7 linked regions of the Macaca mulatta genome follow. The protein of the gene in region 1 purifies or fractionates together with the protein of each later gene. This does not show direct contact. Links are inferred from orthologs where the notes say so. Each region holds a gene or a part of one and is shown in the gene's direction. Other genes may lie near its edges.

Region 1 (3,998 bases):
AAGTAAAATAAATCGGATGAGTCCTTTCCTGTTTGGCGAGGAATGCTACACTATGGGGGACTGTTTCAAACTGGCAGTCTTTGCTGGAAACCTCGCCTCCGCGGTTCGCCTTCCTTCGCTCGGATTCAGGCGCTTTTATGTTAAGGGTTGAATTTTTGTGTCAACAGGCACCTCGGGAGGTCGCCCACATAACTGAGCGGAGCAACTGAGATAACCCCCCGCTACGTGTGGAGTGACCTAGTCCATTAGCTTGCCCCGGCACGCCCGCTGAGTCCGCAAAATATAGGATGTTCTTGGGTTTTAGATGAACCCAAAGCTAAGATTTCTTCCCTCTCTGGAGTTAGCAAGCAGCCCGCCCTGCCCAACTCCCCTGGAAGCGCGCGTGCTCTCCAGGCTTCGGGACGCCGGCGCGGGTGCCCCAGCACTGGCACTAGGGCTCCAGAGTAAGGGGCGCGCCGACCTGCCCGAGCCTCTGCAGGCGCTGGCGGAAGGTGAGCCCTTCACCCGCTCAACAGGCCCCAGTGCCGGCCTTTCCTTCCAGTCTTAACTCCACCCGGGGACCCGGGGGCTCCACAGTTAAAAACTCCGTGCCACGGAGATCGCAGGTGAGCTGCTGGCTCAACGGGGTGTGCTAAATGGGATTAAAGATCCTAGACTGTGGCCAGGCGCGGTGGTTCAATCCCTTAATCCCAGTGCTCAGGGAGGCCGAGGCGGGAGGATTGCTTAAGCCCAGGAGTTTGAGACCAGCCTGGACAACATAGCGAGACCCCATCTCTACAAAAATAAAAAGTAGTGGGGCGTGATAGCGCGCGCCTGTAGTCTCAGCTACTTGGGTGGTCGACATGGGAGGATCGCTTGAGTCTGGGTGGTCGAGGCTGCAGTGAGCCAAGATCACCGCCAAGATCGCGCCCCTGCACTCCAGCCTGGGCGACAGAGGGAGACCCTGTCTCAAAAACAAAAAATCCTAGACCGTTTACAAACAGCCGTCCGTCTCTTCCTGGCCAAGTCCTAACCCTGGCTAACCTCGCCGTGTACAGCCTGAATTTTGGCAACCGAAAGGCAGAGCCGGCGCCACTCGCACAAGAGATGGGCCGCTCCGCCCGCTGCCAGGGCCACGGCCGCGCTCACTCCCAGAGCGCGCTGCGAGCCGCGGCGCCTTTGTGACGCCATCAACCCGCGCGCCGTCGCCGCCTTCTGTGCAGTCGAGGCCCTGGCGGACGGCTGCTGGCTGCTCCGCGGCGCTCGGCTGGCGGCAGCTGCACCGCGGGTTGCGCGGCCGGGGATGCTCCAGCGGGCGCGATGGCCCCCGCCATGCAGCCGGCCGAGATCCAGTTTGCCCAGCGGCTGGCGTCCAGCGAGAAGGGCATTCGGGACCGGGCGGTGAAGAAGCTGCGCCAGTACATCAGCGTGAAGACGCAGAGGGAGACAGGTGGGCGCACGGCGGCGGTCAGCCGCGCCACATGGCGGGCCGGGGGCCGGGGCTGGGGCCAGGGCCCTGGCACGGAACGCGGCTTCCACGTGTTGTCGTGACACCCAGCGTGTGCTTAGGTTTCCGCGCTGCCAGAACCGCTTCTTGCTGTGTCTAGTGCCTTTTTACACTTGAGGAAACGGGTTGAGGGTGTTCCGTTACTTGTGAAAGTCACAGTAAGCGGGAAAGCTGAGAAAAGACCCACATGGGTCCGATTCCCCAGCCGGCATCTCGAATCACTGGGCTGCCCTCATTTGCCCTGGTGTCCGGTCGGTGATTGCCGCCTTTCTTTGACCAGCACCTTTACGTGCCGGGGCTGGAGGAGAGAAGACAGAAGCACTACTCTCGAGGATTTGTTAGTAATAAAGCAAGGAGGCAAACAGGCAAATAAAGTAGACCTTGTGTAAGTGTAGTAAAGGAAATGAAAACCAGGTAGTAGGCCGGGCGCGGTGTCTCACGCATGTAATCCCAGCACTTTGGGAAGCCGAGGCGGGCGGATGACCGGAGGTCGGGAGTTCGAGACCAGCCTGGCCAATCCAACATGGTGAAACCCCGACTCTACTAAAAATACAAAATTAGCCGGGCATGGTGGCGCATGCCTGTAATCTCAGTACTCGAGAGGCTGAGGCAGGAGAATCGCTTGAACCTGGGAGGCGGACGTTGCGGTGAGCCGAGATCGCACGATTGCACTCCAACCTGGGCAACAAGAGCGAAACTACGTCTCAAAAAAAGAAAGAAAGAGAGAAAGAAAGAAAACCAGGTAATAGCAAGAAGTGAAGGAGGTTGCTCTTCTTGATAGACTGTTCTGGGAAGGCCTCTCGGGTGATGTTCAGCTGAAATCTGAAGAGAGATGAGCGGAAAGCGCCTATGCAGAGGCAGGAAAGAGCTTCACGTGCCCTAGGAGTGGTTTGAAAGACCAATTAAGTTGTGGGTGGGCGGGGAGAGTGTGATGAGATGAAGTTGGAGATTGTAGGCAGTGGCCAGATCACACAGGGCTTTGTAGTGTAGATTTTAACGGCACTGCTGTTGAATGATTTCATTTACCTGATCCAAGAATATTTTCTGTAAACTCTTGAGTGAGCCCATACGATATGAACTACAATGTGTGACAGAGGTTTTAAGATAAAGTTTGATTTAGTTACTGATGGTACTAATACATTTAGAATCTGCTTAAAAGAACAGATATTATCTCCCCCATTACTGACATTCTCAGTTTGTTTTAAGAAAAATCACCAGACTACCCAAAAAAAGAAAATAAACTTTCCTGGGAAGTCTGGTAGAAAAAGGAATGAAGACCAAAATTCCTGACTTTGATTCTGTTAGGGATGTCCCTAAGAGATTTTGTTTACTCTCACAGTTCCAGGTAGTCCATATATGCTGGGGGTTTCTAAACCTAAATTGTTGACCCAGCCCTTTCCTACTTGCAACTGGGATGTGCCTTGCTAGCCTGGCTTCTCTACCTGGCACCTCACACTCAGGATGCCAAAAAACGTCATATTTTCTTTCCCCGAAAGCCTGTTGTCTGCTGCTGCTCCTCTACCACCTGTTTTCTCTTCTTTTGGTTGCTAGTTCCCACCAGCCATTCGGATTCCAGCTGGACGCAGGGGATTGTCCTGGACTCCTCTGTCTTCCTCATCCTCTTCCCCTGGCCCACATCCAGTGTCCCTCAGTCCTCCCTCCTTCGCCTCCTGATGAAATAAATTCTCTGACTGTGGGCCCTTTGCATCTCACCCAAACTTCTGCACCTGCATATTCCCTAACTGGTCTCCTTAACTTCATTTGTGTCCCCCCGAATCTGTCCTCCACAGACCAGCCCAGGGTCATCTTCCTAAAACAAATCTGATCCCACATCACCAATATTTTTTGAAATTCAGTGTCTGCAAGTCATGATCTGTCCTCAGGTGCTCTTCCTCCCTAAGCCCCATGTGACTGCTTCATGTTCTGTCAACAGAACCAGTCATGGATCTTGGTGTATAGCACACAATTTCTCACCTCTCTGCCTTTGCTTCTCCTGTTCACTCTGCAAAGAATCCCACACCTTCTTCACTCCCAGCATTCAGTTCAGTATCACTTCCTTCAAAAAGCCTCCCCTAGCATCTCGCCCTACTCCTCCAGGGTCTAAAACATCCATTGTGTCTCTGTTGTAGCACTTAGCTACATTGCTGCTTAATTATCAATGTGCCATTCTACTCCCAAAACAGTGTAAGCTTCCATCTGTTTTCTTAGCCAGAAGTGGGAGTACATGCAGCCATGAAAGGTCTTGGCCTATACAAAAGTAGAAGACAAGAAGCAATACTTATGGTGCTAAAACAGCCTAGACAGAGCCTTTTGCTCAAACCCTTTGGTGAGCCAGCCCAGGATTTGCAGATGCTGAGGTTACGCAGGGGGCCTAAGACCAGTTTACACCAGTGCTCCAGAGTCCTGTCTGGTTAGTGCCTGTCACACCCAGAGTTTCTTGTCTTGTACGTCTTGTTCACCACCACATGGCATGGAGTACACTGGGCCTTCAAAAAATAACTCTGCAGCGTGA
Region 2 (4,065 bases), on another chromosome or scaffold:
TGCAGTGAGCCCAGGTCGCGCCATGGCACTCTCTAGCCTGGGTGACAGAGAAGGAGACTCTTGTCTCAAACCACAAGACTTCTCTCTCTCCCGCTAGTCTATAAAGCTTCTTGAGGATAAGGCTTTTGTGTCTGCTAGTGAATCCTAGCCCTGTTTGTCCTACCTGACACAGTGAACGCTCATAAAATGTTTGAGTGCACGCATGAATGACCGACTAGAACCGACTGAATTTTTTTTTCCTTCAGGCTCCTGAGTCTGGCCGACACTTTCAGAGTAGACGTTTCCAAGAGATGATTAAGAATACACATCCGCAGGCCGGGCGCGGTGGCTCAAGCCTGTAATCCCAGCACTTTGGGAGGCCGAGGCGGGCGGATCACAAGGTCAGGAGATCGAGACCACAGTGAAACCCCGTCTCTACTAAAAATACAAAAAATTAGCCGGGCGCGGTGGCGGGCGCCTGTAGTCCCAGCTACTCAGGAGGCTGAGGCAGGAGAATGGCGGGAACCCGGGAGGCGGAGCTTGCAGTGAGCCGAGATCACGCCACTGCACTCCAGCCTGGGCAACAGCGTGAGACTCCGTCTCAAAAAAAAAAAAAAAAAAAAGAATACACATCCGCGCCGGGCGCGGTGGCTCACGCCTGTAATCCCAGCACTTTGGGAGGCAGAGGCGGGCGGATCACAAGGTCAGGAGATCGAGACCACGGTGAAACCCCGTCTCTACTAAAAATACAAAAAAAATTAGCCGGGCGCGGTTGTGGGCGCCTGTAGTCCCAGCTACTCGGGAGGCTGAGGCAGGAGAATGGCGTGAACCCGGGAGGCGGAGCTTGCAGTGAGCCGAGATCGCGCCACTGCACTCCAGCCTGGGCGACAGAGCGAGACTCCGTCTCAAAAAAAAAAAAAAAAAAAATACACATCCGCGAGTCTGCACGTGCAAACTCGAACAATATAACATAAAGCACTGAAGATGCTCCACTCAAAAGCAACTAGAAGCCTTCATTTTTCAGGCTGGGGCTAGGGAAAATCTGGCCAGTGTTGGAGAATACAAAGCTAACCTTTGTAATTCCTTGCGGTTTTACCGTTCCATAGGTGCCTTCTAGACCAAAGGCCGCCAGTGGTCAGTCAATGCACTAAATTTAGCCACAGTCACAGGCCGTTGCTTTGAATTTACTTCGCGGAGAGCAGTCTTTCCTGTGCTTCCTGCTTTCCCCGGAAGTGCCTTGCTACGGGAAGTGACGAGAGCCGGGTGGACAGAGGAGGGGGAACTACCTCTTCCTCTCCACGCGGTTGAGAAGACTGGTTGACCTGGGCAGCCTGCGCTGAAGATGCCGGGAAAACTCCGTAGTGACGCTGGTTTGGAATCAGACACCGCAATGAAAAAAGGGGAGACACTGCGAAAACAAACCGAGAAGGTGAAACGGAGGGACCTGGGGCCAGGAGGGACGCTGAGTGGAGCGGAACCCCGGGGTGCGGGAGAGGTGCCCGGGCTGGGATCGTGAGAGCGCGCGGCGGGTAACAGCGCGTCCAGAGACCCGGCGTGGGTCTTGACGGGCGGTCGTCCAGCAGTGGTGCGCTCCCAGGCAGTGGATGCGTCTGCCCGACCAAGCCGGGGCCGCCGCGCGCTGACCTCTTCCTCTGAGATTAGAGGCATCCACATTGTTCCAGGAACTCTGGTAGAGAGGCCCTATTGGAGCTCGGGAGAAGGCCGGGTGTCCCACGTGGTCCCCGGCGACTGGGCGCGCCTCACACAGTGCGCAGAGTTGGACATTCAGTCAGGCTCCACGTTGCTGGCTGAGACATAACTCCCGGCTTGAGCGTGCGCGAAGGGAATTACAAGTCAAGTCAAAGTGGGGACTGGAGGCAGGGTGCGGTGGCTCATGCCTGTAATTCCAACACTTTGGGAGGCCGAGGCGGGCGGATCATGAGGTCAGGAGTTCGAGACCAGGCTGGCCAACATAGTGAAACCCCGTCTCGACTAAAAATACAAAAATTAGCCGGGCATGGTGGCTCACGCCAGTAGTCCCAGCTACGCGGGAGGCTGAGGCCGGAGAATTGCGTGAACCCGGGAAGCGGAGGTTGTGGTGAGCCGAGATCGCGCCACTGCAAGTCAACCTGGGCAACAGCGAAACTCCGTCTCAAAAAAAAAAAGTGGGGACTGGAGCTTTAGAGTAGACTGGAGATACCTTAACCTCATCTGCGCACGTGGGCGGCGTCTTTAGTGACTTTTTAAACTCTAGTAAGGGAAGTACAGTTTGTTTTCCGGTAAGCCGCCCTGAGAAGATGACGTAACTCAGTTCTTCTTAGTATTATATTGACTAGATTTCCCATGGAAATGTAAAGGCATGTGTTGCGGTGCTGAGTGTACACCATGTTTTTTTATATAGGCCAGCAGTGTGCAGTAGTCTTAACCTTGACAGCCGTCCCTTGCTTTGCTGTTGCTTCCTAGTGATTTAACTTGTGACTGAGTCTCTGTTCTGAGATAAGTCAGTGGGAAGAAAGATTGTTCTTGGACTTAGGTTGTACACTACTTAGAATGAACTTTACTTGTTTGTTTCCCTGCCTTTTGATATGGAGCTCTTACAATAGCAATATTTTAGAATCGTAGGAAGCCGCGGCAGATTTGTACTCAGGTGCAAGAAGTAGTGGTCCTGGTTTACATCGCATCAGTCAGTTGCTTTCAATTTGGCATGCTCAAATCCAGAGATACATGACCAAACTCTGTTATATTCCAAAAGAGACCACCAGGATGGGAAACTTGGTCTTATTTGGTGGAACCAAGGGATGAAAACGAATAAAATTTTGGAAGGAGACTAGCTTGTTTTTTGTTGGCAAGGAGATTATTTTTAATCTATGATTTGAGAACAGAGACCAGGCCTGACGTTTCCAGGAGGCAGAATTCAGTGTAATATGTATTTCCAAGATTGTTCTGGGGCTCTGCCAGAATAGGTTTCTAAGGAGGCTACAACATGTGTCTAATTGCTTTAAATAGTATGAAAAGTTGTAGGGGGTCAGAAAGTTCAAATAGGAGCCACAGTCATCTGTCTTACTTGGTTCTGAGGTGTCACTCCTTCCATATTCTTGTAACTTATTTATTTTATTTTAAATTAAGTACATCTTTTTTACACAAGGGTGATAGACTGAGTTTTTATAACTTTTTGTTTCATAAAGTGTCTCTTTTATTTTATTTATTATTTGTTATTTTTTTTTGAGATCGAATTTTGCTTTCGTTGCCCAGGCTTGTTCTCCATTGGTCAGGCTGGTCTTAAACTCCCAACCTCAGGTGATCCGATCGCCCACCTCGGCCTCCCAAAGTGCTGGGATTATAGGCATGAGCCACCGCGTCCTGCCCTTTTATTTTTTGTAGAGACAGTCTTACTGTCACCCAAACTAGAGTGCAGTGGCATGATTATAGCTAACTGCAGCCTTGAATTCCAGGGCTCAAGCAATCCTCCCACCTCAGCCTTCTAAGTAGCTAGGAGTATAGGTGTGTGCCGCTACGTCTGGCTAATTTAAATTTTTTTTTTTTTTTTTTGAGACAGTCTTGCTGTGTCGCCCAGGCTGGAGTGCAGTGGCGCGATCTCAGCTCACTGCAACCCCTGCCTCCCGGGTTCAAGCAACTCTCCTGCCTCAGCCTCCCAAGTAGCTGGGACTACAGGTGCATGACCATGCGTGGCTAATTTTTTTTGTATTTTTAATAGAGACGAGATTTCACTGTATTAAGCCAGGGTGGTCTCCTCCTGACCTTGTGATTCGCCCTCATTGGCCTCCCAAAGTCCTGAGATTACAGGCGTGAGCCACCATGCCCAGCCTAATTTTTAAAGTTTTTCAATAGAGAAAGGGTCTTGCTATATTGCCCATGCTTGCCTGTAACTGCTGGCCTCAAACAATCCTCATGCCTTGGCCTCCCAGAGTGCTGGGATTACAGGCATGAACCACTGCACCTGGCCCTAAACTGTCTTTATATAAATTAATTTGCTCTTGTGAGATAGGCAAAGTGCAGAATTCCTGTTTTGGAGTTAAAGGCTGCAGTGAGCTATGATGATGCCTCTGTACCACAACCTGGGTGAAA
Region 3 (4,290 bases), on another chromosome or scaffold:
AACAGGGCTCAGTAGGGTCAAGCCGACCCAGAGTGGACATGGGATGCTCCAGGAGGTCTAGGGTACCAGTGTGCTCAGATGAAGCTCTTGTGCTCGTGTATGTTATGACCTTCTGTGCTTTTGTTTCTGACTTGAATTTATCAATGGTATTGAATAAAAAGCAAGTTCAATAATGTCTTTTTCTTTTTTTTTTTTTTGAGGCAGAGTCTCACTCTGTCACCAGGCTGGAGTGCAGTGGCGTGACCTCGGCTCACTGCAACCTCCACCTCCCCAGTTCAAGCGATTCTCCTGCCTTGGCCTCCTGAGTAGCTGCGATTACAAGCTCCTGCCACCATACCCTGCTCATTTTTGTATTTTTAGTAGAGACGGGGTTTCACCACATTGGCCAGGCTGGTCTCAAACTCTTGACTTCAGGTGATCCGCCTGCCTCCCAAAGTGCTGGGATTACAGGCGTGAGCCAGCACGCCTGACTAATGTCTTATTAGAAGCAGTACTTTCCTTCCTGTGAATTCTGGGTATTGAACCCATCCCCACCCCCTCCACCTCCCTGCTCAGTGACAAGGAACATATTTTTCCTGGTGAGGGGAAGGGTGAAGGGTATCTTACTCACTTTCTAAGGGCCAAATAATGTGTAATACCACTCACCCTATCCTACAGGAGCTGCCCCCACCAGGCAGGGGGATAGGTGGGAATGAACATAAAGGTGGGAGTGACTCAGTCTGGAGTTAGGGAAGGGTTTTGGGCAGATGAACCCTAGGAGAGATCTGAAGGGCTCTTCGGGTTACAGTGGGCTAAGAGGATGAGACCCACTGGACAGAGGAAAGAGCAGAGAAGACACCTTAATGGGTGTGCTGTGCTGTGTGCCTGTTTTACATCTTTGTATTCCTGTAGCACCTGGCTAGACGCCTTATTCATACTAGTCACACTTAAAACGTAGATGTTATCAAATTATCAAGTAAAAGTTCACTTTAGGACTTTGCCAGCTCTTCCCTCTGCAGGCGCTGAGAGGCCAGGAACAGAACTTTCCGGAAGCTTCCCTTACCACGAGTCCACGTTAGAGCAAGGTGCTGAGGGAGGGAGGTCTGGCCGAGGAACAAGGCTTGCTTTTGAGAACATAAGCTGATGCGGAGGGCGCGAGGGGAAAGGGGTTTGAGGGACAAGCATGTCGGAATCCACGCTGTCAGTGAACATCACTGGGCTGTACCAGTATGTGTGCCTACCGAAGCTCGAGCCCCGAACGCAGCTGCTTCCCTAGGGGCCCAGCAACAGCGGGCGCGAATCGGCACATTACCGGCGGCCGCGGGGCGCTCAGGGCTGCGACAACTCCGTGGGTTCCCGCGCCGGCCTAGCGGCCCAGCGACTCCCAGCGGCCGGAGAAGTCCGCGCTTCTCGGGGTTGGCCCACCCAACCTCTGTGTGGGTAGGACCGAGTAACGACGCATTCTCGCGAGATCGGGCCACTATTAGAGCGCATGCGCAAACTGTACTAGTCTCTTTTCCGGTTAGCGCGGCGTGAGAAGCCATGAGGTAAGTGGTCCTGAAAGCCCTATCTGCGTTCATCCGCGCCTCCAGGTGCCCCGCCAAGGATGCGGCTCCTGCAGACCGAACTGCGGGCCCTTGCGCCACCTTCGCCGCGGGGCATTTCTCAAGGCGGGTCGGCCTGCGGGTCGCCCTTCCTACCAGGTCCGATCACCGAGAGGCTCCCTCTTCCACCGGGGTTTGGGTCTGGGTCTGGGCTCCCGTCGCTCTACTTGGTGTCCGGAATCTACTGGGGAGTCCGCCGTGGGCCGCCCGCCCGTCTCGAAGCTTGGAGCCTCGGAGGCTTCTGAGCAGTCTGAGCGTGTGGACTCCGCGGCCCTGAGCGCGCTGTCGCTTCTCTCACGCAGCAGCAAAGTCTCTCGCGACACCCTGTACGAGGCGGTGCGGGAAGTCCTGCACGGGAACCAGCGCAAGCGCCGCAAGTGAGTGCCGACCCTGGGGCAGGGCGCGGGTGGTGAGGGCCGGCGTGTGCTTAACGCTTAATCCCCCTCCTCTCTCGAAGGTTCCTGGAGACGGTGGAGTTGCAGATCAGCTTGAAGAACTATGACCCCCAGAAGGACAAGCGCTTCTCAGGCACCGTCAGGTTGGCACCGTTCTGATCCCACCCAGCCCTCAGTGCCCCCGTGCCTGCCCCTCCCCTGCAGGCTCCCGCTGAGCCGGAGGCGGGCACGTCGGTACTGATGTGTTAGGGTAGTTCAGACCCCCTGCTCCGGGCAGGCGCGGCTGGACGGACCCCCACCCTGGGTCTTAAAACATGAGGGGAGGCGTGGGGAGGCCTTGGCCGAGCCCGCCGGCCAGCCTGACAAGCCAGGCTGGCTGCTGGTGAATGTGAACGCTCCGGGTAAGGCTCGGTGGCTGCTGCGGTCCCACACCCTTCACCGGCCCTCGGGACCCAGGGCTAGGCATAACCTGTTGGTGCTGTCCCCCAAAACGCAGGCTTAAGTCCACTCCCCGCCCCAAGTTCTCTGTGTGTGTCCTGGGGGACCAGCAGCACTGTGACGAGGCCAAGGCCGTGGATATCCCCCACATGGACATCGAGGCGCTGAAAAAACTCAACAAGAATAAAAAACTGGTCAAGAAACTAGGTGAGTCCGGCCGCTGTGGTTTTGCATGTGAGATGTGGGGTGGAGGCGCTAGAAAGGCTTTCCTGCCATTTCGATTTTTAATGATGAGGGGGCTAGACTAGCAAATGCGGCGGTGGTTGCCTAGCTGGCCTGAGTGCTGTTTTAGCTTTGGGGTGGTTTGATGTTTGTATTTGCTATGAGGATTCCAGTTGATGAGGAAGGCCAAGTATTGTAAGTTGACCCAGCCAGGTGCTGGTGAGGTATGATTTGGAAATCTTATTCTGCGTTGTTTAGGCAGTGGCATTAGACTGCTTTCACAGGTAGGAAGCAGACATTGCCAGTTGTCACGTGTCCAGGGTCCACCGCTAAGAAATAGGCACAATTCAAGCCAAGGCAGTCTTTTTTTTAGTTATTTTTTGAGACGGGCTGGTGCGATCTCGGCTCACTGCAAGCTCCGCCTCCCGGGTTCACACCATTCTCCCTCCTCAGCCTCCCGAGTAGCTAGGACTACAGGCACCTGCCACTACACCTGGCTAATTTTTTTTTTGTAGTTTTAGTAGAGACGGGGTTTCACCGTGTTAGCCAGGATGGTCTCAATCTCCTGACCTCGTGATCCACCCAAAGTGCTGGGATTACAGGCGTGAGCCACCGCATCCGGCCTGAGCCCTGGCAGTCTTGACTGGGGCATCCGTTGTACAGCGGTTATGCCATGGATCATGGGTCAGCCTGATTTTCTGAGAGCATGTTTTGGGACCAGTGAAGGTCCAGAGGACTTTCTGGAAACCTTTTAGGCGGGGGAAAAGACTGAGGCGGGGGTAGAGAGGGTGCTGCTTGGATGTCACGTGGTTGATACAAGTGCGTTTCTGGCCTGCCACATTTGAGGTGTGCCTTGGTGACCAGGTCCTAAGCAATGCCAATGGCTTCCTGTCTTTACCAGCCAAGAAGTATGATGCGTTTTTGGCCTCAGAGTCTCTGATCAAGCAGATTCCACGAATCCTCGGCCCAGGCCTAAATAAGGCAGGAAAGTTCCCTTCCCTGCTCACACACAACGAAAACATGGTGGCCAAAGTGGATGAGGTGAAGTCCACAATCAAGTTCCAAATGAAGAAGGTGAGGGGGTCTGGTGGGTTGCTGTGGGTGAAGGTGTTGGCGGGGTCTAAAACTTACCCAAGTCTCTAAATATGCCAGTGAGAGCACCCACCAGGATTGAAATTTTTGGAGTAACCCTGGTCCTTCCTTGGCCCGGGTCCAAGTACCTGCTCACTAGGCCAGTGAGGGAGGGACAGGCCATTTGCCATTCCTCCACCAACCTGACTTGATCCTCTCTTCTGTCCTCCCAGGTGTTATGTCTGGCTGTAGCTGTTGGTCACGTGAAGATGACAGACGATGAGCTTGTGTATAACATTCACCTGGCTGTCAACTTCTTGGTGTCATTGCTCAAGAAAAACTGGCAGAATGTCCGGGCCTTATATATCAAGAGCACCATGGGCAAGCCCCAGCGCCTATATTAAGGCACATTTGAATAAATTCTGTTACCAGTCCCCTCTGTCTGCCTGTGATTGAGGGTGAGGGGTGGTTTGTCAGCTGACAAGTGAGGGCCTTGGCACTGCCATGGCTCGTTGTGTAGTTTGTCATCTTGATGATGGATAGTTGGGTACTACAGGGAAGAGGATGTTTTTCTGCCATCA
Region 4 (3,981 bases), on another chromosome or scaffold:
CTAATTTTTTTTTTTTCAGTAGAGACGGGATTTCACCATGTTGGCCAGGCTGGTCTCGAACTCCTGACCTCAAGTGATCTGCCGCCTCTACCTCCCAAAGTGCTGGCGTGAGCCACCGCGCCCAGCCTAATTTTAATTTGAATTCATTAGCGACGTTTAAAAATCCCAGGATTTCACATAAAAATCCAGATTGCAGACGTCGAAAAAAAATGTAAAATGTTATCTCCCAATGTCGCAGGCAAATAAGATCACAGTCCTGAATAGCAACCGCGGTCTCTAGTGGACACGGCTCTCATCCATTTCGGTCCATTTTATTACCTGGGAGGACCGGTATTTTCAATTTCAGTAACTTTTAGAGGAAACTTTTGAAAAAAGGACTGCACACACGCACCTTTTCTTCCTTCTCGTTCTTTAAAAGGAAACAACAGAAACAATTCATTCTGCAGGCAATCTGCGCTAGTCCCACGGATAGGCGATTAACAAGAGATAAAGAGGTGTGGGTACCAGAAGCAGTACTGTTACCCCTTCTGGTTGGCGGGTACCACGTTGAAAGGTCGGGGTACGGGCCCACTGCGACTAGCACAAAGAGTGCTGAACTGAGCTATGCAAAGTTCTGACGAGAAGGTGGAATGGTTCTTAATGAAAAGGATTAAGGAATCTAAACCGGTTTCGCTAAATTAGACACATCTGTCTAAGCAGCCACAGCTTGTTCGCAGCAGGGGCGGGAAGACAAACCAACGCCCCAGCTCTCTATTCAGTCACCGGCAACTCAGCTCTGGACTAGACGCACTCTACGAAGATACCCGGGTTTCCGGAGCAACGGCCCGAGCCCTCCCCCTTTAGCCCCGCCTCCGAGTCTCTTTCCCGCCAAAGGCCGTTATCGCCGCAGAGCATGGTGGGACAAGGCTTTAGGCTAGGTTTCACCAAGTCCTTTGAAGGCGCCGAGTTGCTTTCAAAGCTCCTCATTCCTGGGGAAATTGACTATCCTTCAAGACTCGACCTGGATGACTAGCTCCTTTAACGAGAGTTCTTTATTTAACTTTTACCAAACGGCTGCTCACTCTATTCGCAAACCACCCCAAGCGGGGAACGCGGGGGACTTTTTTTCCCCCTTCGTGCGGAGGGTGACGTCGCGCGTGCGTGCGCGTGCGTTGCGCGTATCCCTCGCAGCACCCGTTGCGCTCCCGCGCGTGCGTGTTGGGATCGAATCGCTGTTTCCTTCCGCTTCTCTTCCTCTGTCTCCCCCCCATATCCGTGCGCCGAGCTGATAAAGGCGCCATTTTGGAGGGGCCGCGGGAGACGTGGTGCCGCTGCGGGCTCGCTCTGCGGTGCGCTAGGCTTGGTGGGAAGGCCTGTTCTCGAGTCCGCGCTTTTCGTCACCGCCATGTCGGGAGGTGGTGTGATTCGTGGCCCCGCAGGGAACAACGATTGCCGCATCTACGTGGGTAACTTACCTCCAGACATCCGAACCAAGGACATTGAGGACGTGTTCTACAAATACGGCGCTATCCGCGACATCGACCTCAAGAATCGCCGCGGGGGACCGCCCTTCGCCTTCGTTGAGTTCGAGGACCCGCGGTGAGGCGGCATGGGGCTTGCAGCCTTGAGGAAATAGGTCCGAGTAGTCGGGGAAGGCTCCAAGGCCTTAACATAGAGAACGGGGAAGCGGGGGCTCTTAGAGAGGTTGGGGCGAGACTGTATCGCCCATGCAGGAGTCGAGTAAGGAGCTGAGTTGGTGTGGCTTCTCTGGCGCCTCGCCTTGGACGTCCCCGGAGCCCATTCGCAGGCTGGAGCGGGAAACTGAGGCGCTGAGGGCTGGTGTAGTGGTTGGGAGCCTGGCGTGTTTCTGGGTGGGGGAGGGGCCATTCCTATTATGCGGCGCATGTGGGCTCTTCCACGTTGGGTGCGCATGTGCGGGGGGTTCCCGACTGAGCGAGCTTCTCCTCCTGGTCTTTCTCATGCCTTTTACTTTCTGCGATCCCGCAGAGACGCGGAAGACGCGGTGTATGGTCGCGACGGCTATGATTACGATGGGTACCGTCTGCGGGTGGAGTTTCCTCGAAGCGGCCGTGGAACAGGCCGAGGCGGCGGCGGGGGTGGAGGTGGCGGAGCTCCCCGAGGTCGCTATGGCCCCCCATCCAGGCGGTCTGAAAACAGAGTGGTTGTCTCTGGTGAGTGTACTTGGTTGTGTGGATTGATGTGAAGGGACGGAAGCTACCTAAAATTTTTGTCTTGCATGATCGGTTTAACAATTGCAAATTTTTCATGCTAGGTCTTAAATTGCTTTAGTTTTTGGGTGAATTTAATAAACGAGGATTGCTGCTGTGGTGATTTACCAAATTAGGTTGCGGTACTAGATACGAAGATCCGTTACAAATAATTTTGGACTCTGGATCCCAGAATCTTACCAGCTCTTTACCTGGTATCACTTAAGTACACCTATTAAGTATTTTAAAGTACTCTTTGTTCTAATGTACCTTACCAGCTTAACGTGAAATTTAAGATAATTGATACTAAGAAAAAAAATCACTTTTTCAGGACTGCCTCCAAGTGGAAGTTGGCAGGATTTAAAGGATCACATGCGTGAAGCAGGTGATGTATGTTATGCTGATGTTTACCGAGATGGCACTGGTGTCGTGGAGTTTGTACGGAAAGAAGATATGACCTATGCAGTTCGAAAACTGGATAACACTAAGTTTAGATCTCATGAGGTAGGTTATACGCTTATTCTTTTCTTTGACCAGAATTGGATACAGTGGTCTTAACAGTGGAATTTGAAGGTAAGAATTCAGGCAAGGGTGTCCAAGTAAATTGCCAGATTTCTGGTTGTAGTTGCATTGTATGCATTCAGCATGCCTGAAGATAGATGAAAGCTTAGATCTTTCAATGGAAAGTTCTGTCTATCCAATAGGGAGAAACTGCCTACATCCGGGTTAAAGTTGATGGGCCCAGAAGTCCAAGTTATGGAAGATCTCGATCTCGAAGCCGTAGTCGTAGCAGAAGCCGTAGCAGAAGCAACAGCAGGAGTCGCAGTTACTCCCCAAGGAGAAGCAGAGGATCACCACGCTATTCTCCCCGTCATAGCAGATCTCGCTCTCGTACATAAGATGATTGGTGACACTTTTTGTAGAACCCATGTTGTATACAGTTTTCCTTTATTCAGTACAATCTTTTCATTTTTTAATTCAAACTGTTTTGTTCAGAATGGGCTAAAGTGTTGAATTGCATTCTTGTAATATCCCCTTGCTCCTAACATCTACATTCCCCTCGTGTCTTCGATAAATTGTATTTTAAGTGATGTCATAGACAGGATTGTTTAAATTTAGTTAACTCCATACTCTTCAGACTGTGATATTGTGTAAATGTCTATTCTGCCCTGGTTTGTGTGAACTGGGATGTTGGGGGTGTTTGTGGTTATCTTACCTGGGGAAGTTCTTATGTTTATCTTGCTTTTCATGTGTCTTTCTGTAGACATATCTGAAGAGATGGATTAAGAATGCTTTGGATTAAGGATTGTGGAGCACATTTCAATCATTTTAGGATTGTCAAAAGGAGGATTGAGGAGGATCAGATCAATAATGGAGGCAATGGTATGACTCCAAGTGCTATTGTCACAGATGAAATTGGCAGTATTGACCTTATACTAAAAGGCAGGGGTTAAAAATGATTATATACGTTTTCCTTAAAACACTTGCAAACATTTTATTCAGTTATCTTTAGCTACAATTGCTTTGCTCTTTAAACCTTGGCAATTGTGGCAAAATTATATTGCCCATTTTGTAGCAACTTATTTTGCTCCCTTCCCCCCATTTTTGTTTTAATAGGGACTAATGTGGGAAGAACTGGCTAATTTGTCACAGTGCTTAGTTACAACTGTTAATGTGTGACCTGCTGTTGGTGTACATGTGGGTACAGGGTGTCTTTAAATCCAACAAGATAGAGTATAATATCAATACTGCTAAATCTGCATGTCCTCTGTGT
Region 5 (3,500 bases), on another chromosome or scaffold:
AGCTGGGATTACAGGCATGTGCCACCATGCCTGGCTAATTTTTGTGTTTTTAGTAGAGACGGGGTTTTACCATGTTGTCCAGGCTGGTCTCAAACTCCTGACCTCATGATCTACCTCAGCCTCCCTAAGTGCCGTGGGATTACAGGCATGAGCCACCACCGCCCTTTCCTATGCTTAGATGCACAAATACTTACTATTGTATTTCAGATGCTTACAGTATTCAGTACAGTAACATACTGTACAGGTTTGTAGCCTAGGTGTGTGTAGTAGGCTATACCATCTAGGTTTGTTAGTATAAGCACATTCTTATGATTGTACCAAGATGAAATTGTCTAACAACACATTTCTCAGAACCTAGCCCTGTGGTTAAGTGACGCATGGCTGCATATAACATTTAGTGGTGGGGGGGTGTAAAATAGGTGGAACTCAAAGTTGAAGTGGTATTTTTTTTTTGTTCACAGGTCAGTTTAGGGGCTGGTGCAAAGGATGAATTGCACATTGTTGAAGCAGAGGCAATGAATTACGAAGGCAGTCCAATTAAAGTAACACTGGCAACTTTGAAAATGTCTGTACAGCCAACGGTAAGGGCACTTGTATACTTTGGATGTTGTGTCAAGGTTTAATTCTGTTTTAAGGTAGGTTTGGTGTCATTTCGTTGTGCCAAAGAGATAGAAAGTGGTTCTTTATCTTCTGTCACTGGAGTTCAATGGTCAGCTCTTGAACATGGGGGTTTCTGCTGCTAGTTTATCAGAGGTGGAAAAAAGGTTCACTGGTTTGTGGTTTTTTTTTTTTTTTTTTTTTGAGATGGAGTCTCGCTGTGTTGCCCGGGCTGGAGTGCAGTGGCCGGATCTCAGCTCACTGCAAGCTCCGCCTCCTGGGTTTTTACACCATTCTCCTGCCTCAGCCTCCCGAGTAGCTGGGACTACAGGCGCCTGCCACCTCGCCCAGCTAGTTTTTTGTATTTTTAGTAGAGACGGGGTTTCACCGTGTTAGCCAGGGTGGTCTCGATCTCCTGACCTCGTGATCCGCCAGTCTCGGCCTCCCAAAGTGCTGGGATTACAGGCTTGAGCCACCGCGCCCGACCAGGTTCACTGGTTTGTTGATTTGGCTTATGTGTTTGCTTGTAATGTTTATTGTACATTTTCTTCATATGTTTAGTGATTAAAAATTTCTTCCTTCTAGGTTTCCCTTGGGGGCTTTGAAATAACACCACCAGTGGTCTTAAGGTTGAAGTGTGGTTCAGGGCCAGTGCATATTAGTGGACAGCACTTAGTAGGTATGTTATTTTTATGTATTATACTACTTAGTTTATTCTTTTTAATGCAGTTGCTTGGTTCCCAGTTTGGACTTAAAGCATGGGTATAGTACTACTGTCTTTAAAATAGATTCCAGTGTGAGTCTAGAAATTTATAATTGGAGAGGACAAATAAATTTTTGGAGTGGGGGGACAAAATCTTGATCTGTCACCCAGGGTAGAGTACAGTGGCACGATCTTGGCTCACTGGAACCTCTCCCTCCGGGATTCAAGGGATCCTCCTGTCTCGGCCTCCCCAGTAGCTGGGACCACAGGCGTGTGCCACCAAGCCTAGTTGTGTTTTATAGTTTTAGTAGAGAAGGGGTTTCGTGAAGTTGGCCAGCCTGATCTTAAACTCCTGGCCTTAACGTGTTCTGCACGCCCTGGCCTCTCAAAGTGCTAGTACTACATGCGTCAGCCACTGTGCCTGGCCTAAAATTTTTTTTTTAATAAAGACAGTCTCATTCTAAGGCTGGAGTGCAGTGATCGTAGCTTGTTACAGCCTTGAACTACTGGGTTCACATCAGCCTCTGGACTAGCTAGAACTACAGGCACACTCCACCACGCCTGGCTAATTTTTTTTGTATATGTGCAGATGGAGTCTCACTGTGTTGCCCAGATTGGTCTCTTGGCTTCAAGTGGTCCACCTTGGCCTCCCCAAAGTGAGATTACAGGCATGAGCCACCCTGCTCAGGCTTCTTGCATTTAAAACCTGGCAGTGAACGTTAGGCCTCAGAATACCTTTGTTAAAAAGTTCCTTTTCCCATTTGCTCTTTTTTTAAAAAAATAGAATAGAAATCTCAGTTTTTAGAATATTTACTGTATGCTATCAGTGTTCTTTTTTTTTCTGATTTCTTTGCTGCTTGAGTTTTATAATGTCTAATAAATTGCATTTTAGCTGTGGAGGAAGATGCAGAGTCAGAAGATGAAGAGGAGGAGGATGTGAAACTCTTAAGTATATCTGGAAAGCGGTCTGCCCCTGGAGGTGGTAGCAAGGTTCCACAGGTAGAGATGGCAATTTTATTATAGGTTTTGTATTACAGATTTTAGTTTGGTGATAGAACAGCTCTTGTTCATGAGTATGTGCCTTTTCTTTTAAAAGAAAAAAGTAAAACTTGCTGCTGATGAAGATGATGATGATGATGATGAAGATGATGATGATGAAGAGTAAGTATGATCTTAGAAATTTGATACACTTCTGAAATCTTAACAGAGAAAAAGGAATTTGACATTGTTATATGCATGAGGATTTTATAAAAGTCATTTATGAAAAGCCATCCTGTGTAATAGTTTATAATAAAAGGGCAAGTGGTCATCTGTTGTCAGTTTAAGTTAAATGAGCTGAATTGAAAGGATATTGGGTCATGAGCCTTTACAGTGCTGTGACTTGGTGACTCTTCAGAAGGGTAGGCTATAGCATTTGCAAAGTTTGATTATGTCCCTTTGTTTTAAAGATTTAGTGGATGTTATACCCATCAAGCCTGGTATGTATTATGGTGAAGTTAATTAGATTGGGTTGAAAGAAAATCTGACTAAAGGCCGGGCGCGGTGGCTCAAGCCTGTAATCCCAGCACTTTGGGAGGCCGAGACGGGCGGATCACGAGGTCAGGAGATCGAGACCATCCTGGCTAACACGGTGAAACCCCGTCTCTACTAAAAATACAAAAAAAATTAGCCGGGCGATGTGGCGGGCGCCTGTACTCCCAGCTACTCGGGAGGCTGAGGCAGGAGAATGGCATGAACCCGGGAGGCGGGGCTTGCAGTGAGCTGAGATCCAGCCACTGCACTCCAGCCTGGGCAACAAAGCCAGACTCCGTCTCAAAAAAAAAAAAAAGAAAAGAAAATCTGACTAAATAGCTCTATATTCATTTTACAAATTGTTACTGAAGGTTTGTTATTCCCCAAAAGGATTTTGGCTTGTGCTTTTATGTAGATACTTAATGGACAAAAATAAGATCCTAAAAGGGATATTAAGATTTTTCTTGGGATTTAAAATATGATTGGAAACATTAATTTTTTTTTATATTAAACTGGATCAAACTTGGTATAAACAGTTACATGCACACTGGTATAAAGTACTGTTTATAATTGGTTTTATGTGTGCAAGTATCAGTAATACATTAAATACTTGGCTCTCAGCTTTGTTCTTCAGTTCTGAGATTGGTCCATATGCATTTATGGAAAACACATTAAATAAAATATAAGA
Region 6 (4,133 bases), on another chromosome or scaffold:
AGTGGCATGGTGGTAGCTCACTGCAGCCTTCAACTCCTGGGCTCAAGAGATCCTCTTGCTTCGGCTTCCCAAGGTGTGGGGATTACAGACTCGTATTTTTTGTTTATCTAACTTTAAGCATGGCCTCTACCTCCCCCAGTCGTGACAACAACAACGTTTCCCTCCAGACTTCCAAATAGCTCCAGGAGGACAAAACCCCCCTTTTTCAACCGGGAGCTGAAGGATATTCAGGTTGCACCACTCAGAGCAGGTATACAAAAATATCTAAAGAGCTGATGTTATCTCAGTGATATCCCTTCCCTTTTTTTTTTTTTTTTTCGCTTCGGTGACACCCTACTCTCCTGGTCTTCTCCCTACCTCCCTAGTCACTCCTTCCCGTCAGTCTCCTTTCCTGTACTTAAATTTCAGAGTACCCCAGGCGTTGGCCTGGGTCTTCTGCTCCCCACCTAAACTTAAACCACAGGTTTTCATCTGGTTCTCCAGCTTTAAATAGCATCTCCCTTGATAAACTCACAAAATAAGGCACTTTCAAGTCAATGGAAGAAATGATAGTATTGGGACAAAGGACTTTCTATATACGGGAGAAAAAAAATTGTTCATCGCTGTAGGAGGGCTGCGGGGTCTCCTCCGCGCTCCCTTTTGAGCACCTACAGTGAGCGTAGGATTCCCACGGACACCCCAATCCACAAGTGAGTCAAGTTGACAGGGCTCCAAGAAAGACCCATGGAGGGAGAGGGGAACGTCCGGGGAGGCCAAGACTGAAGAAGGCTGCGAGTGAGACTTGGAGAAGCTGATGGCGGCTCTGCAAGTTCGCAACGCGACCCCCGCCCGGTCAGCAAGACCTCAGCGCGTGATCCTCGGATTCTGCGAAACCGGACCAGCGACTGGGTCCGAGAGCGCGGTCCCCACCAAAACGAGCACCAACCAATCGCTGGGGGAAACAGGCAGCCTCGTTTTAACCCACCAATCAGAGACCGCGGCGACCCATTATAACCACCTCGAGAACCAATGAAAAACGGGGATTCTCTCAGCCCGCCTCCCGAGCTTCAACCCCAAAGAGATCGATCGCGCAGTTTTATAAAAGGTACAAATTAGAAAACAATTCTGCGGCTGCATTAGAGACACTGTGTTTTCAAAGACGGTGGGGAGGGCTGGAGAAAAATCCTAGAAGCGAGCAAGACCGCACTACACCGAAACGTCGCGGGCAGCTGACTCGCCAGTCACCATTTAGCCCAGGGCCGACTGGGGACGGACGTGCCGCTGCGCGCTGACGTCACGCGCCAGGCCCCGCCCCACTGGCCGCCCATATAGCGTAAGCCTGGCGCGCGCGCGCATCATTGTGTGGCTGGACTCGGCCGCCGCTGTGGTGTGAGGCGCGTGTTCGGGCTCTTGCCGTCCCCGCACCCGCACCGCGGCTACTGGCTTGCGGTCCGCCGTTCGACAACCAGCCCTTGGGCCCCCGCCCGCCACGGACATGCCGCGCGTCTACATAGGACGCCTGAGCTACAACGTCCGGGAGAAGGACATCCAGCGCTTTTTCAGTGGCTATGGCCGCCTCCTCGAAGTAGACCTCAAAAATGGGTGAGTCGAGCCTGGGCGCCCGCGCCCAGCGTCCCAGGCCTGGTGGCGGCGGGAACTCTCCAAGGAAAAAGGCGGCCAAGGCCGCGGCGCCGCGTGGCAGGGCCTCCAAGATGGCGACGGCGCGGCGTCGCGGGGGCGCGCTGAGGGGTGCGGGCGCGCGCACGGGCGCGCCCTGGCTAACGACGCCCCCGCCGTTGTCCGGCCCTGGCACCGCCCCCAGGTACGGCTTCGTGGAGTTCGAGGACTCCCGCGACGCCGACGACGCCGTTTACGAGCTGAACGGCAAGGAGCTCTGCGGCGAGCGCGTGATCGTAGAGCACGCCAGGGGCCCGCGTCGCGATCGCGACGGCTACAGCTACGGAAGCCGCAGTGAGTCCCACCCCCGCGCGCTCCGCGCCCTTGGGGACCCTGGGGGCGGGCGGGGGTGGGTGGGTTGGGGCCTCCCAGCCCGGGCAGGCGCGAGGGCTGGGGGTCGTTTGACTCGGGTGTCCCCGAGCCCCGCTGCCTTCATGTCTGCCCGGGGCAGCCATGGGACGCCGGAGCGCGGGGATTGGGTTTGGGTGTTTGGTTTTATTTGCGAAGTTGGGCGGGGGGTGGCTTCTTCTGGCCCCTTGTCAGCACTGTCACAGGTTCTAACCACAGAGGAAGTAAGGAGTGGCTGTATTTGTTGTATTCTCCTTACTTACCTATCAGTGCATTAGTTAGAGGTTCGGGGGCAGGCTGGGGTGGAGGTGGGGTAGGGGGGCGGGGGACGGGGAAGGGAGGAGCTTAAAGTATAGGTCTTAAAGTTATGGAACTTGATGGGGGCCGAAGAATGTACTATTTTTAAGTAATGTGGTATTGTACCACAAAGTAGATCTAAATAAGCTTTATGCTGTATTTGAACTAACTGGGGCATGTTACTGGGAGGAGGTTGGGGGGATTTTTGGTTATGTTAAATGTTTGATGTTTAAATTGTTGCATGTTGAATTCAAACTTTTTAACAAGTCCTTGATGTTTCAATTTGAAAGTGACCAATGGGGCTGAGGCTGTGTCCACTGAGGCTAAGATGACTGCCTTTCCTGATTGGCCTTGGCTTTTCCATACATTGTGTGACCCTTGCCCTATGACCCTTTGGCTGACCTTACCGGAAGCCATGACGACAGCAGCCTTTTGCCATTAGACGCAGGGTGATGGTGAGGATTCCAAGGGTTAGACAAAACTGGTTAATCTGAACTAGGTGACTGTTACCTTGCGTGTTTTGTGGCCAAACCACCACCAAAAACCTCACACTGTGATGTAAGTACTTAGTGTAAAACTAGTAAACATTTTTGTAAAATGTAGAAATGCATGTAATCAGTTAAGTTTTATATTTTACAATGTTCTGTAAAATAAAACTTAGCGAGGTAAATCGAATAAAGGAGCAGTCACTCTCTAACAGATTGTAGGAGAGGTTTAGTTGGATTTAGTCTATTTGACTTGCCCTTAATTTAATTTTATGGCAAATCACAAATGTGTCGAAGGTTTAGCAATATAATAGCAAAGTCCTACTCCAGTAAATAAAAGTTGATATGTTTGTACTAACTTTCAAAGACATTATGCGTTTTTATCATTACAAGGCATCTAATTGTTCCCTTCATGTGATAAAGGTGGTGGAGGTGGATACAGCAGTCGGAGAACATCTGGCAGAGACAAATACGGACCACCTGTTCGTACAGAATACAGGCTTATTGTAGAAAATCTTTCTAGTCGGTGCAGTTGGCAAGATTTAAAGGTATGTGCTATAATTCAAGATACAAAAGATACGACTAATGCTTTAAAGTAAACTCTTATTTACATTCTTATTTCTGGGAATTTATTATAGTATATAGATCTTTTAAGATTTCCGAGTCTGACCAATCTTATCATTTCAGGATTTTATGCGACAAGCAGGTGAAGTAACCTATGCGGATGCCCACAAGGAACGAACAAATGAGGGTGTAATTGAGTTTCGCTCCTACTCTGACATGAAGCGTGCTTTGGACAAACTGGATGGCACAGAAATAAATGGCAGAAATATTAGGCTTATTGAAGATAAGCCACGCACAAGCCATAGGCGATCTTACTCTGGAAGCAGATCCAGGTAACTTGTTGAAGGACACTGTGGGGAGGAAACAGAATATTTGACAATAAAAAAGGGAAGTAATGGAGTAATTTCAATTGTTGCCTACTTGAATTAAAGCCAGCTTTTAGTTTGTTTTGGCTGTGCATCATTGGGTTTTTTTCTGGATGTTTTGAAGGTGTATTTAATTTCGTAGTAAAGAAAAACATTATTCTTTGGCTTATCTATTTTTGCCAGATGGCACAGGTGTATTTAAGATGGATTGAGATTAAGACTTCATTGTTTTTCTCCTAATAGGTCTCGATCTAGAAGACGGTCACGAAGTAGGAGTCGCAGGAGCAGCCGCAGTAGATCTCGAAGTATCTCAAAAAGTCGCTCCCGGTAAATAATGTTGTGTTGAGTCATTGTGAATATTACTGTACTTGTTTATGGAGTACGTGTATGTTCTTACAAAGTATTGAGAGAATCGGTC
Region 7 (4,107 bases), on another chromosome or scaffold:
TCCCAAAGTACTGGGATTACAGGCATAAGCCATCGCGCCTGGCCTTAACAAACACTTTTCTTTCTTTCTGAGACGGAGTCTCGCTCTGTCGCCCAGGCTGGAGTGCAGTGGCGCGATGTCGGCTCACTGCAATCCCCGACTCCCCGGTTCATGCGCCTCGGTCTCCCAAAGTGCTGGGACTGCGGGCCTGAGCCACCGCGCCCCGCCTGAGGTGATTTTTAACAAGTACCGCCGTAGCTGCAGGTATCCTGGTTCTGTAGGAACAATGAGGTATGGATGGATCCATACCTGGACCCATGGATTGGATGGATCCCAGGCAGGCCCTGGACGGAGGGAAATGCTCTGGTTTGCTAAGCCCGGCATCGAGGGAGGCCCACCCTCAAAGCTAACCGTGGAAGTCACTCCGGCCTCCTTCGCCCTGCCGCCGGGGAACCCTGCCGGTGGCTCTCGACCTGCTCCCGAGCCATCTGGTGACACTGACTTAGCAGCCACCACCTTAATTGGCGCATTCGACGCAAATAACAACCAGGGAACCTGTGGGCGGTCAAAGGCCCGGCTTTGCGGTCGGCCCGCCCAGGCCCCTCTCCTTGCCCTGTGAGGCCAGAAAGTTACTTCTCCGAGGCCGTTCCCCATGACGAGAAATATCTCCCGCCTGAGGTTCTGTGGGGTAGGGGAGGTTCGTGCATTTCTCACAGAAAAACCTCGCACAGACCCGCGACTGCCTTTAACGGCTCTCAGAAGACTGCCTGCAGCCGGGGGTGTCTCCAGTCCCATGCTCGCGGGCAAGCAGGGCTGAGCTGTGCCTCCGAAAGGGCCAACGGGAACTCCGCGGTCCCTGAACTTCCGGGGCTGGCGGGCTTCTTTCTCCAGGGCCACCGGGAGCGCCGGCGTGAGTGCGTGCCGGGGCCGCGCGCGGGGTCTTTGAGGAACTCCAAGGCTGCCCGAGCCTAGGGAGCCAGCCACATTGGAGATCCCTAGACCGCCCGATTCCACCACCCCCGAAGTCCCCTCACAGCCGGCGCCAAAAACGCCAGTCCCACGGCGCAGGCCGGGACCCGCGCGCCCACGGCCCAATCAGCGCCGGCCTTGCACAAAGCGAGCCCCGCCCCGACGGCACGGCTGCCAGCCCCTCCCCCTCCCGTGGCCGCCTCGGCCCGCCCACTCCCCGCCCCGCGCCGTTCTCGGTTAGAGGCTCGCGATTGGCTCAGGGGGACTGCCGCGAGCTCTGGTTGGTCGGCACGGAGTCACGAGGGCGCCGTCGTCGCCTTTCCACAGGCGATTACTGGGCAGGCTCAGTCTTTCGCCTCAGTCTCGAGCTCTCGCTGGCCTTCGAGTGTACGTGCTCCGGGATCTTCAGCACCCGCGGCCGCCATCGCCGTCGCTTGCCTTCCTCTGGACTCATCTGCGCCACTTCTCCGCTCCACACTCCGCCGCCATAAGCCGCCATCATGGTGAAGCTCGCGAAGGTAAACGGCCTTGAGCGCGAGCGCAGACGTCTAGGCCTGCTCTCCGAGGGGCGAGCGCGGCGGCGCGGGGAGGAGGGCCTGCGCGCAGTCCCGGGCGCGTTCTAGGGCGCCATGCTGCGGGAAGTCTCGCGCGATTAGTGGGGAGGTCTCGCGGCTTCTGGCTAGTTGGTGGCGAGGTGAAGAGCTTCTGCAGGTGCTGGGGGCGGCGAACGCGGCGGGAAAGACGGAGTCACTGAGCGCGGGGAGGGGGCGCTGGGCCCCGGGGTGGGGAGATGAGACCAAACTCCTGCGACGCATACGAGTCGGGACCCGACTCCTGACGCACGTGCCCGGGAGCGCGGCCTGCCACGTGGGCCGCGCCGCGTAGGTCCTGGAATCTCCAGAGGCACCGGTGCCTTGCGCCAGGAAATGGCGGTATCGGCCCTAGTCGGAGTCCTGGCCTGGCAAGCCGACACGTGGTGGGCCCCGGAAGGTGGCTCTGCCGCGTGCCTTTTGCGCCGTGTTTCGGGCACGTGGTGGCCTACCAGGTACCCCCACGTGGCCGCGCCGCCTCTTTAAGGGGCGGGGTTGTCTTGCTGGGAAAAGCATAATGTTCATGAGAAAACCAAGGTAGTTACTTCTTACCTTCGGGCGGGTTTTCTGTTTGTGAAGCCCGGGAGGAAAATTGTGGGCGGTTGAGAGTAGTCCATCTTGCATTGCCATCAGGACTCGTTTTGATGTTGTGCTGTTTGGCACTATGAGAAATGGATCTGAGAAAGGAGAGATGATGGCGTTTTACTATGAACAGTAATGGCAAAATATGAATGGCCTGAAATGTTGAGGTGGAGGTGTAATGACCTACTTGTGTCCATTTTAGGCAGGTAAAAATCAAGGTGACCCCAAGAAAATGGCTCCTCCTCCAAAGGAGGTAGAAGAAGATAGTGAAGATGAAGAAATGTCAGAAGATGAAGAAGATGATAGCAGTGGAGAAGAGGTAATTTTATCTAGCTTAATGCAGAATTGTGTTAAAACTACAACAATGGAGAGTTAAGACATGAAATTGGATGTCTGTGGCTAAAATAAGATTTTATTCATCCAGGTATGTCCTATTGTAGTGGTGGTTTCACAAGCTCTTCACTGACATGTCAAGGTGTCATTTGGCTAAGTATTTGAATGTGAGTTTGAGACAAGAGGTCTGGGGATCTCCTTTCCATGTGCCTCTGCAGGGCAAGGAGTGTGATTTGTTGTGTTAAATCATTAAATTTTTCCAGTTTCAACATGTTAGCCTCACCCCGACATGTAGAGCTGGGCATTGTATTCAGATCTGAGGATAACCTTCCCAGATTCCTTTCCTAGCCTCCAATTAAGATTAATTGGTCTCCATTCCATTATATATAAACTTTGTAATTCTACTCACTGCGTTATAGTTATCTTTGGTGTAGACTGAGGGCTGCCACCTCTTTGTGTTAACATTGACCCTCTTTACTCTTTGGCAGTCTTGGCCTTTTATTTGCTCACTGTAAAGACATCTGAGCACTGAATTGTGCTCAGGTTTTTCGTTGAGAATTGAATAAAAGTTTTATTCTTCCACACATTGCCTAATAAAACTATGGGATTTTCATGTAGCTAAACGATGGCTTTTATCAAACTAACATGCTCACTCTTTGATGTGTGATAGTTTTGTAAGGGATAGTTAGGTTTAGCCTATTTGATCTTCATTTTATCTCAGGTCCCAAGAATTGAGCTTCACTGGACTCAGTACTGCCATCCACCATAGGAGCCCCAAATGATTTAATACGTTAATGCTTGGAGCCTCCTAGGTGTAAGGTTCTGAATAATTTACGCATAGCACTTCATTATTGTTATACGTGTAATATGATACTATTACCATTTTCAGATGAGAAAGTTGGGGTTTGGGAAAATATGAGGTGCAAGAATTCAGAGGTCTGGTTCAGAGGTATTTTAAGTGTTCAAAAGGGTTCCTTATGGCTGGGTATTCACCTGATAATAAGGGCTCTGACCTAAGACAACATAACAGAAGCCTGGAGTTTAACATGCTAACATGTGTCTAGCGCATGTGGTCTTGAACCAGAAGCATTGGCAGAATCTAACACTCACTGGGACCATGGTTATCTTTTTGGGTGTGGGGCTGGACTTACTGGTTTGGTTTTCATTTATTCTCAAGGTTGTCATACCTCAGAAGAAAGGCAAGAAGGCTGCTGCAACCTCAGCAAAGAAGGTGGTAGTTTCCCCAACAAAAAAGGTTGCAGTTGCCACACCAGCCAAGAAAGCAGCTGTCACTCCAGGCAAAAAGGCAGCAGCAACACCTGCCAAGAAGACAGTTACACCAGCCAAAGCAGTTGCCACACCTGGCAAGAAGGGAGCCACACCAGGCAAAGCATTGGTAGCAACCCCTGGTAAGAAGGGTGCTGCCATCCCAGCCAAGGGGGCAAAGAATGGTAAGAATGCCAAGAAGGAAGACAGTGATGAAGAGGAGGAGGATGACAGTGAGGAAGATGATGAGGATGATGAGGACGAAGATGAGGATGAAGATGAAATTGAACCAGCAGTGATGAAAGCAGCAGCTGCTGCCCCTGCCTCAGAGGATGAGGATGATGAGGATGATGAAGATGATGAGGATGAGGATGATGACGATGAGGAA

What was found.
Region 2: the proteins of RRP1B (region 1) and DDX21 purify together in Homo sapiens (affinity purification with mass spectrometry; 3 studies listed by BioGRID and IntAct, with this or other methods). This does not show direct contact. The link is inferred for Macaca mulatta from reciprocal best matches to the Homo sapiens genes RRP1B and DDX21.
Region 3: the proteins of RRP1B (region 1) and RPL10A purify together in Homo sapiens (affinity purification with mass spectrometry; 3 studies listed by BioGRID and IntAct, with this or other methods). This does not show direct contact. The link is inferred for Macaca mulatta from reciprocal best matches to the Homo sapiens genes RRP1B and RPL10A.
Region 4: the proteins of RRP1B (region 1) and SRSF1 purify together in Homo sapiens (co-immunoprecipitation; 3 studies listed by BioGRID and IntAct, with this or other methods). This does not show direct contact. The link is inferred for Macaca mulatta from reciprocal best matches to the Homo sapiens genes RRP1B and SRSF1.
Region 5: the proteins of RRP1B (region 1) and NPM1 purify together in Homo sapiens (co-immunoprecipitation; 3 studies listed by BioGRID and IntAct, with this or other methods). This does not show direct contact. The link is inferred for Macaca mulatta from reciprocal best matches to the Homo sapiens genes RRP1B and NPM1.
Region 6: the proteins of RRP1B (region 1) and SRSF6 purify together in Homo sapiens (affinity purification with mass spectrometry; 3 studies listed by BioGRID and IntAct, with this or other methods). This does not show direct contact. The link is inferred for Macaca mulatta from reciprocal best matches to the Homo sapiens genes RRP1B and SRSF6.
Region 7: the proteins of RRP1B (region 1) and NCL purify together in Homo sapiens (affinity purification with mass spectrometry; 3 studies listed by BioGRID and IntAct, with this or other methods). This does not show direct contact. The link is inferred for Macaca mulatta from reciprocal best matches to the Homo sapiens genes RRP1B and NCL.

Annotation. Positions count from the first base shown.
Region 1 is NC_133408.1:3,879,960-3,883,957, reverse strand, and holds the start of RRP1B (ribosomal RNA processing protein 1 homolog B), read left to right. Parts: upstream 1-1,198; 5' UTR 1,199-1,299; coding exon 1,300-1,429; intron 1,430-3,998. Other genes in the region: HSF2BP (heat shock factor 2-binding protein), read right to left, coding at 1,024-1,170. UniProt on the Homo sapiens protein: Positively regulates DNA damage-induced apoptosis by acting as a transcriptional coactivator of proapoptotic target genes of the transcriptional activator E2F1.
Region 2 is NC_133414.1:80,682,259-80,686,323, reverse strand, and holds the start of DDX21 (nucleolar RNA helicase 2), read left to right. Parts: upstream 1-1,265; 5' UTR 1,266-1,321; coding exon 1,322-1,408; intron 1,409-4,065.
Region 3 is NC_133409.1:146,806,661-146,810,950, reverse strand, and holds RPL10A (large ribosomal subunit protein uL1), read left to right. Parts: upstream 1-1,490; 5' UTR 1,491-1,521; coding exon 1,522-1,526; intron 1,527-1,885; coding exon 1,886-1,960; intron 1,961-2,040; coding exon 2,041-2,121; intron 2,122-2,474; coding exon 2,475-2,623; intron 2,624-3,539; coding exon 3,540-3,712; intron 3,713-3,942; coding exon 3,943-4,113; 3' UTR 4,114-4,143; downstream 4,144-4,290.
Region 4 is NC_133421.1:51,982,380-51,986,360, forward strand, and holds the start of SRSF1 (serine/arginine-rich splicing factor 1), read left to right. Parts: upstream 1-1,181; 5' UTR 1,182-1,384; coding exon 1,385-1,578; intron 1,579-1,986; coding exon 1,987-2,171; intron 2,172-2,538; coding exon 2,539-2,711; intron 2,712-2,894; exon of another isoform or gene 2,895-2,911; coding exon 2,912-3,106; 3' UTR 3,107-3,471; coding exon of another isoform or gene 3,472-3,510; 3' UTR 3,511-3,981. UniProt on the Homo sapiens protein: Plays a role in preventing exon skipping, ensuring the accuracy of splicing and regulating alternative splicing.
Region 5 is NC_133411.1:180,249,569-180,253,068, forward strand, and holds part of NPM1 (nucleophosmin), read left to right. Parts: intron 1-461; coding exon 462-581; intron 582-1,182; coding exon 1,183-1,276; intron 1,277-2,192; coding exon 2,193-2,299; intron 2,300-2,396; coding exon 2,397-2,461; intron 2,462-3,500. UniProt on the Homo sapiens protein: Involved in diverse cellular processes such as ribosome biogenesis, centrosome duplication, protein chaperoning, histone assembly, cell proliferation, and regulation of tumor suppressors p53/TP53 and ARF.
Region 6 is NC_133415.1:96,305,114-96,309,246, forward strand, and holds the start of SRSF6 (serine/arginine-rich splicing factor 6), read left to right. Parts: upstream 1-1,333; 5' UTR 1,334-1,474; coding exon 1,475-1,581; intron 1,582-1,801; coding exon 1,802-1,950; intron 1,951-3,209; coding exon 3,210-3,334; intron 3,335-3,473; coding exon 3,474-3,682; intron 3,683-3,958; coding exon 3,959-4,042; intron 4,043-4,133. UniProt on the Homo sapiens protein: Plays a role in constitutive splicing and modulates the selection of alternative splice sites. Plays a role in the alternative splicing of MAPT/Tau exon 10. Binds to alternative exons of TNC pre-mRNA and promotes the expression of alternatively spliced TNC.
Region 7 is NC_133417.1:136,720,199-136,724,305, reverse strand, and holds the start of NCL (nucleolin), read left to right. Parts: upstream 1-1,307; 5' UTR 1,308-1,448; coding exon 1,449-1,466; exon of another isoform or gene 1,467-1,659; intron 1,660-2,322; coding exon 2,323-2,439; intron 2,440-3,630; coding exon 3,631-4,107. UniProt on the Homo sapiens protein: Nucleolin is the major nucleolar protein of growing eukaryotic cells. It is found associated with intranucleolar chromatin and pre-ribosomal particles. It induces chromatin decondensation by binding to histone H1.